Macaca fascicularis: one gene and its partner. The protein of the gene in region 2 purifies or fractionates together with the protein of the main gene of each other region. This does not show direct contact. Links are inferred from orthologs where the notes say so. Each region holds a gene or a part of one and is shown on either strand. Other genes may lie near its edges.

Evidence for each region.
Region 1: the proteins of ARPC5L (region 2) and ACTR3 purify together in Homo sapiens (affinity purification with mass spectrometry; 6 studies listed by BioGRID and IntAct, counting the BioPlex papers as one, with this or other methods). This does not show direct contact. The link is inferred for Macaca fascicularis from reciprocal best matches to the Homo sapiens genes ARPC5L and ACTR3.

Annotation. Positions count from the first base shown.
Region 1 is NC_088386.1:17,949,101-17,953,645, reverse strand, and holds the start of ACTR3 (actin-related protein 3), read left to right. Parts: upstream 1-1,703; 5' UTR 1,704-2,010; coding exon 2,011-2,054; intron 2,055-2,623; exon of another isoform or gene 2,624-2,747; intron 2,748-4,545. UniProt on the Homo sapiens protein: ATP-binding component of the Arp2/3 complex, a multiprotein complex that mediates actin polymerization upon stimulation by nucleation-promoting factor (NPF).
Region 2 is NC_088389.1:19,194,981-19,199,659, forward strand, and holds the start of ARPC5L (actin-related protein 2/3 complex subunit 5-like protein), read right to left. Parts: upstream 2,982-4,679; 5' UTR 2,885-2,981; coding exon 2,735-2,884; coding exon of another isoform or gene 2,634-2,734; intron 2,382-2,633; coding exon of another isoform or gene 2,324-2,381; exon of another isoform or gene 248-2,323; intron 1-247. UniProt on the Homo sapiens protein: May function as component of the Arp2/3 complex which is involved in regulation of actin polymerization and together with an activating nucleation-promoting factor (NPF) mediates the formation of branched actin networks.

The DNA.
Region 1 (4,545 bases), on a different chromosome or scaffold from region 2:
TTAAAATGCTTAGAGCAGTCTACAAATTCTTGCACTGTTTGACTCTTCCTTATCTCTCAGGCTTCCTCTCCCATTGCATCTTCTCTGACTCTTTCGTTTTGACCATATGGATCTTCTTTCAACTTGTAGAAGATGCCAAGCTTGCTCCTGCCTCAGGTCCTTGATACTTGCTGTTCACTCTCCTGGGAGGCTCTTCCTCCCAGCTCAGCTTTTAAATACCAGCTGGTCAGACTCCTTCCCTGCCTTCCACCTTCCTCCCATTCTCCCACTCCTTGCCCTCATTTCTCAGAGTCCTCAGCTCTCCTTTCTACTGCTCTTAACACAATTTGTCTGTTTTCCGCTAATCTGCAAACTCTACAAGAGACCTCAACTATTTTGTCCCACCGAATACTCAAGAGTCAGCACAGTCCCTGCCATAACAGAGTAGGTAAGCAATACTTACCTGCCAAGTGAATAAATGAAACACCCGATTCCATCCCCCAGGCCAGCTTAATACCACATTAGATGATCTCACGGACTGAATAAGACATCCTTCCTTTTAAAGAATATTTTTATTTTAGCTTCACATTAGCAAACTCAGAATGGTTTATTGTTAAGATCAGCCTGGTAGAGAGGAAAGCTATTAACCTTCTAGGGTCCTAAAGTGGAACTAGGAACTGATTAGATACGCAGATTTTCAGGCATTATTTCAGACAGCCCAGTCAGAGAATTCTGGGGGTGTGGCCCAGCAATCTGTTTTAACAAACCTTTCGGGTGATTCTGACACACACTAAAGTTTGAAAGGTTTCTTTAAGGCTTTCCAGTTTTCTTTTCTTTTTTTGGAGGGATGGTGGTGGGGGGGGGGTCTCCCTATGTGCCCAGACTGATCTCGAACTCCTAGCCTCAAGCTATCCTCTCCTCCCACCTCGGCCTTCCAAAGCATTGAAATTACAGGCCTGACCCACTGCGGCCCGCCTCCGTCTTTAACTTAAAAAAAATTTTGTTGGGGGGGGCTAAATCCCTTCTATTATCCCGCTAGTAGAATCTTACTACTCCTGAGGGTAATCTTTGTCATAGTCCAAAAGCCTTGAATAAAGGCTGTTTGTAGTTTTGCAGAATATATTCCTGGGCGGTTTGCCTTCCTCAGGAGCTCAGGCCTTGGGAGGTGGGGGTTGGGGGGCAGGGCTACATTCTGAAGTCCTGTAACAACGCACAAGTACAACTGAATAAAACTCGGAACAAAGGCATCAGGGCCACGGTGCAAGCCTTTGTTCATCCGTTCCCCGACTGCTCACCCTGTGTGATATCTCTCTTTTCCACCCAGAAAAGCAGCCACTCAAGTTTTAAGAATGGATGCATGCCGCGGACGTTTTCGATTAGGCCGTTTTCTCCCAGGCACTGGAGGATATTCGTGGCTGCAGGAGGCGCTTCCACTCTTTCCTCAACCTAGCGGAGAAGTAACTGAAACTAACCCAAGGGCTACCACCGAAAAGCCCCTTCCAGCTTCAGAAGCAGAACTAGAAGCTCGGCTAGACTTCTCCGTCTCTACCCTCCTGGAAAACCCGCTGTGGATTTCACTAACTTCAGGATCGGAGCCCCGGCAGGCGAACGCACCTTATTGCGCATGCTCGCTAGCCCCTCCCGCTCGGAGCGGAAGGGGGAGTGCTCGGGGCCTGGGCCCGGCCTGGCCGGGGCGTCGGCACCGGCGGCCATCTTGGCTTCCCGGGGAAAGGCGGCGTGAGGGGAAGAAGTTGTAGGGTGGGGGCAGGAGTGGGGAGGAGGGAAGAGAGAGGGGGAGGAGGCCGCGGCGGGGCAGGGCGGGGACTGCCTGCCTGCTTGGGTTGCGGAAGTGATAGCCGCTGACCGAGCCTGCTGCTTTCTTGCTACTGCTTCGGCTTCCCGGCTACCCCCCGGACGGTGAAGGCGGCCCGGCTGTGGATGGTCAGATAGCGCCTGTCTCCCGCCGCCAATCTCTGGCCCCTAGCAGCACGGAGCAGACGGCGGCAGCAGCAGCAGCAGGCGAGGAGGAAGATGGCGGGACGGCTGCCGGCCTGTGTGGTGGACTGTGGCACGGGGTAAGGGGGCTTACGGGCGGGGGTGGGGAAACTGAGGCGGAGGAAGGAAAATGGCGGGGGAGGGAGGAGGCCGGGAAATGAATGGTGCGGCGAGGTGCTGCCGCCGGCTGTCAGTCCTAGACTCGCCGGCCAGCGAGGGGTGGGGCCCGGAGCCAGGGCCTCGCCGGTCCCCTCGTTTCTCCCTCCTAGGACTGGGGCGGGGGCGCGGGCCCCAGATTCAACCCCCAACCCTCCCTGCAGCTTCCTCCGCGCGACCCCTCCCGGCCCTTCCCCCACTGCGGTGGGCAGTGCCGCCCAGAGAGTGCTAGGGACGGTCGTCTTAGGGGTGGTCCCCGGGCCCGACCCATCCGGCTTTGCTTTCCCTCCGTGTCCCTTTTTGCCAGTCGGTGTGGGGACCCAGGGGCCGAGCTCGGGGACTGGCCTGGTAGAGGAGCTAGAAAAGAGAAGCGCTCCTGGTAGGTTTTGCAAGATCGCTGTGACAACATTCTGCCCAGGGTGTGGGTGGGGAAAGGGAAGAATCGGACTCTGAAAATGGGAACCTACAGTGGGGTTTTCATTTGACCACCCACCTTCTCCTTTCGACTCCCGGTCATTGCCATCTCCCTCTGCGTTTCAACCGGTGAACCGAGTCACATTTTAATTCGAGGGAGAAAGATGTCATGTGTTACTTCTGTAGCCTCAAAAAAGTCCCCCAGTGAGCAAGCGCGCTGTAACTTCCTTAGTTTTGTCAAAGCCGCTTCCTGCTTTCAGTCTTTTATACCCTTATAAGGTAGTTTTTAGTTTCCAACCTGAACACATCTTATTAGAACTTTTAAAATTAAGCAGATTTTAAAGAGACTGAATTACAGGTGCTTGGTATCCATTTATATGACTTAAAAAATGTGCTTATGTTTCATGGAGAGGGGAGAAAGGAAGCACCCTGGGAAATAAACTAATTTAAGTTGTATTCGTTCATTCTGTAAAGGTATCTTGAAGGAAGCAGAAAGGTATAGAGGTATATAGGAATGTGTTTAAGTTGCAAGTAGTTACTCCTAGATCTGTAGGGTAGTTTGCTAAAATGTAGAATGGCTTAAAAGTGATCTTTCATTTTGTATTAATAGACATTTTAGAGAGTTGTACCACACTCATAACTACATAGAGAATAGACTACTCTTATTTTAATGTAGAATCACTGCTTCACGATGACTTATAGGAAAGGGTTCTTTTTTTCTGTTCTAATTACATCTCTCCAATTCCCAAAACACTCCCAATTTTTTTTTTTTTTTGAGGGGGAAGGCAGTGAGAGGCTTGTTTTTTTATTAATTATAATTATTAATTTCATTATTGTTACTTAAAAGATTGTGTGTCCTTCACTCTTTATGTGAAATTTCTTTAATCTTCATTCTCATAACTAGCTAGTGTGGCAGTTTCTAAAATCCCAATTAGGTAGAGAGAAACAACCAACTTCTTAATATTCTCCCTAGGAAAGCACTAGCCTAGATTAGCCTTGGAACTTCCATGTATTTTATTGATGAACACTTTATTATAAAGTTTTTCATGAACACTTTATTATAAAGTTTTTTCTTAATTGGTTCTCATTTCTCGGAACCAATAGTTTTTTTTATTTCCCCCTTCTTAGTCTAATTGATGAGTAGTTTTATGTCTAAGTTCAGTTTTAAAATTAGATTTGGCCTGAGTCAGTAGGATAGAACTTTTTAAATGTGTTTTGTTAAAGTGACGAATATTGCTACATAATTAATGCTTTAGAAATTACTGAGTTGTCAAAAAAATAGTGTAAATAACTGTGGCCCTAAGAAATAATATGGTAACATCTCAAGTAGTATGTTACTTTTCTAATCTCCATTTTTCCCTCTTTGAAATAGTTTCGAATTAGTATACAAGATGTCTCATTGAGGTCATCTGTCCTTAAGTGACCTCCTTTCCTAAAGGGCAACCTTGAATTTAAAACATGCTGAATGACCAGTAGGATCGGGGAGAGGGGTTCAATTTAACCTAGAGTATTTCTGTTTTAAAATTACAATTATTACAATAGTATATTTTTAAGTTATTACACTGGTTTCTCTGATAAGGAGAGGTTGTTAACTGCACTTTGATGGTTTGAATGGAACTGATTAGGAGTCCCCTTGCCACCTCCCTCTCTTTACCATTTGTCACAATCTGAAATTCCCCCTTTAGAGTTTCAGTTATTTTGGTCCTCAAAAGGCTTTTTGGTCTTGCAGGTTGCCAGTGGTGCCTCCTGGGAAGTTACACTTTCAGCTTTATTAGCACATGGAGGATAAGTCCTTGAGGTCGAGGACCCTGAGATAAGCATCTCTAAGTATGGCCTTAACAGGGAGCTTTTACATTTCAAAATTCTGTGGGCCCCGAATGCAAATTGTGCACCTATAATTTGTCTATTTCTTTATGCTTTAGAGAATGCATTCAGTTCTTAGGTCTCTAAATTACAATTACCCACTTAGTTTAAGTAAAAAGTTGTAACCTGAATCAGGTT
Region 2 (4,679 bases):
AACAAATGGAATCATTCAAATGATGGTTGGGGAAGGGCAGGGATAAAACTAGTCCACGGGGGCAAAAAGCCCCTGCTGTGGCGTTACCTCAGCACCATGTGTCCAACAATCACTCAGTCCATTGATGGGTGAGGGCCTTCAGCAGCTGGGTGATGTGGGGTGCAGGGAGGGCCTCCCTGAAATCACCTGTCATTCATGAAGCCGGCTGTCATACTTGGCTGGCTTTAGACCTTTTCAGAGAATAGGCTGTGGTGCTGGGGGAACCCTGCCCAGCCCTTGATCTCTAGATCTTCCTCAATCACGGCACAACTGACACTGTGGACCCACGATTCTCTGACGTGGGATCTCAGCTGTGGGTCATAGGCCTCTGCCCACTGGATTCCAGTGGCATCCCCAAGCTGTAACTATCAAAATGTTTCTAATTTCCTGAGGTGGAGGGGAGGGGTGCAAAATCGCTCAAAACCACTGCTCTGGCCAGAGCCCTGATCCAGAAGTCTAGAAGCTGCTTCACTGAGGGGAAAGGAACTCATACTTTTAAATCGCCACAAGGTCTCGGATCCTGTGCCTGGTGCTTTCACATGCCATCTCATTCCAAAAATCCCAGTAACAACAATCATTATCTCATTTGAAAGGCAATGGAATTGAGGCTCAGAGAACGGAAATTACCTGCACAGGGTCACAAAACTAAGCTGTCTAGATGGCCCTGGCACCCAAGCTCCTCCCACAATCCCGTGCTGCCGCTCTAGCTGCAGACCTGAGCAGACACTTGCTGTGTGCCCCCTGATGCTGATGTTAGCCCATGAGGCTCCCACAGAACCTAGGAAGCCAGCACGGCTGTCTGCCACGTCACAGAGGAGAATGCTGAGTTGTGAGAGGGTATGTGACCTATCCGAGGTCAGAGCCAGAGCATGATGGCGCGCGGTGTGCGAAGATGCACAGCCGAGTTCCTTCTACCCCATCTGCGTGATCTCCCGCCACACACACTTCCCTATATAGCCCCAGGACAGGGTCCCTCTCTGCCCTCCCCAACCCCAATCCCTCTATCCCTCTCCCTGCTCCCCTGTCCTCAATGGTCTAAGTCCAATTCTTGGCACATGATAGAGACCCAATAAATATCAGTTCCATTCTCCTCCCTACCTGGGTCCGGTATTTGCCAGGGTTTCAGTTCTCTTTATCCGCTAACCTCCCTTTCCCCAACCCCAGGTGGAACACTCTCCATGGTAACAAGGTTTCTGCCGCTGCCATGAATGGAGAAACGACCATCCCCGGGATGTGCTAAACCCAGGCCTCTAAGCAGCCTCAAGGAACCTGTCACCAGGCAGGGGAGTCCCAAGACATGACCTTCAACAAGGCTCTGCACCCAGACCAAGGCAGCAGCTGACAGGCCTGACCTCCTCATCTGTTCAATGAGGGTCCTGGGCCAAAGGCCTGACCTTGGAGCCCCCTTCAGCACTGACTCTCCATAAGCCAGGCCCTGCACCTGACTACAACCAACCTTCCCTCCTGGGGACCCTTCCCTTGACCCCATTTCATAACTAGGGTGGACTGGGGGATCCTGATGGGGCAGGAATGACAAGCTTGAATCTCCACTTCCGAAAACACATTCCTGTTCAAACCAAGTCTGAAGGTTTTCGTTTTAAAGGCACACTGAGGAGCACTGCCGGGCTCCCCCTAAAGCAGCAGGCCCCACTTTCCAAGCTGAGTCAACTGGTTCAACACCGAGAACCTGATTTATGTACAGCATGGGCCTCCAACCCTGCCCCCGCCCGTGCGGGGGGAGGGGACAGGCTTCCTGGAACACCATTTGAATAAAGAAAAATCCTTCCGGTGAGAATAAGTCAGTTTCCTGCGCTCATACTGCTAAAGGACCAAGCAAGGCTGTGACAATCACCTCTATTTTTAATCTTTTCTAAATGCTGTTTTCTGTGGCCACAAGAACAGTCATTTCCAGGCGTGGGGCTCTACTTTCACACTTCACTTCAAGGTGTCTGGTTTTTCTTAGCTCTGAACTACTAGTTCTTTCCGCTGCTTCCTGCACCAGAAGGGTACTGGGGGGAGCCAAGACTCACTTGCTGAGCGTAGCTGAGACCACCAAGGTGACCAGAGGAACCACAGGGTTTCCCTTTCTCAGCATTAAGCGGGAGGGTCAGACTGACTGGGGGAGGGGAGGCACAACCTTAGACCCCAGGGCTGAAATAGGGCGGCCGCCTCCACTCCCTCCTGGGTCCTGTCTTCCCCACAGCCGTCCACCCACCTATCTTCACGCCCTGCGGCAATCTGGCCCCGGAAGACCGCGCCCCAGCCTCACCGATCACTCGGTTACTCAGATACGGCTCACCTCCGCCCTGCCGCCGACCCAGCCCCGCCATAGGCCCGATTTCCTGCAAGGGAGGGACGGAGTGCTGGGGCCCCCAGAAAGGGACAGCGTGAGGGGACGAGGAGGCAAGAGGGGAAGAGAGCCCGGGGCGCGGGACCTGCGGGGCTACCGAGGGAGCCCGTCCACCGGGTCCAAGGGCCTGCGGGGCTGCGCTGCACAAGAAGGGGCCAGGGCTGGGGAGGAAGGACCCAGGGAGACCAGGACTCAGGGGAGCACGGCCCAGGGGAGTCAGGTCGGCAGGGAGTTGAAGGCTGACCTGAGGGGGCCGGGGGTCGGAGACAGCAGAGGCCCGCCCGAAGGGGCCCGAGAAGGTGGGAAGGCCGCGCGCAGGCCCGGACGCCGCGTCAGGAAAGGATATTGCCGCAGGAGCCCGTCCACCTCGCTCGGGTCCGGGCCTGGCTCCGCCGCCGCCGCCGCCGCCTCCTCCTGCTCGTCCACAAATTTGTTCTCATCAAATTCGTCGATGTCCACCCGGCGGAAGCGCGAGGACAGCGTGTTCCGGGCCATGGCGGGAGCTCGGCGCCCGCTCAGCCGGCTCCACTCGCGGCCCGACCTCAGCTCTGCTCCACTCGCACCGGCTCCGGCTCGGGGGCGGGAAGCGGCCACCGGGCTGCTCCCAGCACCTCCTCCACCGCCTCCGCGCGCAGCCGCCGCCGCCCGCCCACTTCCGGCACACGCCGGATCCGGAAGCGTCATCGGGGCGGGGCGGAACCTGTCCCGTGGAGTGCGGTATGGGGTTTCCGCGGCCTCAGTCTCTTTTCCGCGGAGCCTCTGTCTTACCACTGAGGAGTGGCCGCCCGGTATCCTTGCAGGCCCCGCATAGTGTGTGCCGTAATCGCGCTGGTGATCCGGCTTTCCCGCGCCTCCGAGGAACCGCTGGCCTCAGCGGGGCCCGGCGCGGGCTTCCGGGGTGATCCTTGCCTGTACGGGGGAAGACTGGGCGCCCGGGAGAAGGCTCGCGGCTCTACTTCTCGGGTGCTGGGCAGGCTTCTTGGAGAAGAAACCTTCGAGCTGATGACTGAGGGATGAGTAGGAGTTCCTGTGCCCGGGGAGTGACGCGGGAGGGGTCTGTGTCTCGGAATCTTGAACGCCGCCACACTTAGCACGAGGAGGTCGCCTTTACACAGAGGTGACCCTGTTAAAGGAGTGGGAGGCTTTAAAGACGTTTAGTGCGATCAGAGGGCTGACAAGGCGTTGAAGACATTGTGACTCGAGGGATTTTGCGGCCCCACGTGTGTAGCAGTCACCTTGACCAGGCAGTTGGGGCCCCAGGAGAGGGAGATGGCCCTGTGGCCACCGTCCTGGCAGGAGAGGCCTGGCTTGAGAGGCACATCTTGATAGAAACCAAATTCTCAGAATCTGAGATGCGGGAAAGCGGGTTAGGGAAGTCAAGGACGACTCTGAGGTGTCAGATTTGGTGCCTGGGCTGTTACCCCAGGGGTTCTGTTAATTGATCTTAGCCTTAGGGTAAGTAAAATGGGTCTTTTATATAATACTATGAAAACTGTTTTCATCTAATAGTACCCTTGTTAATAAAAGTTGGAATGTGATTCATTTTTACTGCTTCGAATACTTCTCATTGAACTGTGTCTAAAGATCAAAAAACTATTGCCAGACTATGATGCAACCTAATCTTCCGTGGTAACCAGGATACAGACTCCCATAGTGGGAAACTGGCGCTAAAGAAAAGTCTCCGCCTGTAATCCCAGCACTGCGGGAGCCGAGGCGAGCAGATCACCTGAGGTCAGAAGTTTAAGATCAACCTGAGCAAAATGCTGAAACCCCGTCTCTACTAAAAATACAAAATTAGCCGGGTGTGGTGGCGCAGGCCTGTAATCCCAGCTACTCGAGAGGCTGAGGCAGGAGAATCGCTTGAAACTGGGAGGTGGAGGTTGCAGGGAGCCGAGATCGCGCCATTGCACTCCAGCCTGAGCGACAAGAGCAAAACTCGGTCTCAAAAAAAAAAAAACAGTCTCAGGGGTCCTGGAAACACGAAAAGCCCACCTGCAATACAGTTCCATATCTGGGAAAAAGTCTTTGTGATTCAGGCCTGCCACGAGACAGCAGAAATTCATATCCCCAAAACATCCGAGTCAGAAGGAACTTGAACCCAGAAGTGCCCATTTTACCAGTAAAGAAGCAGCCCCCAAAGAAACTGGTAAATGGAATAATGTCCCTGCTCATGGTCATGGACTTTCATTCCACCCAGGGAGACAGCATTTAAAAATTCGTATTATACTATGTCAGGGCTGACAGTGTTGAGGGGGGAAAAAAATCATGCGGTGCCTGAGTGTGCCTTAGA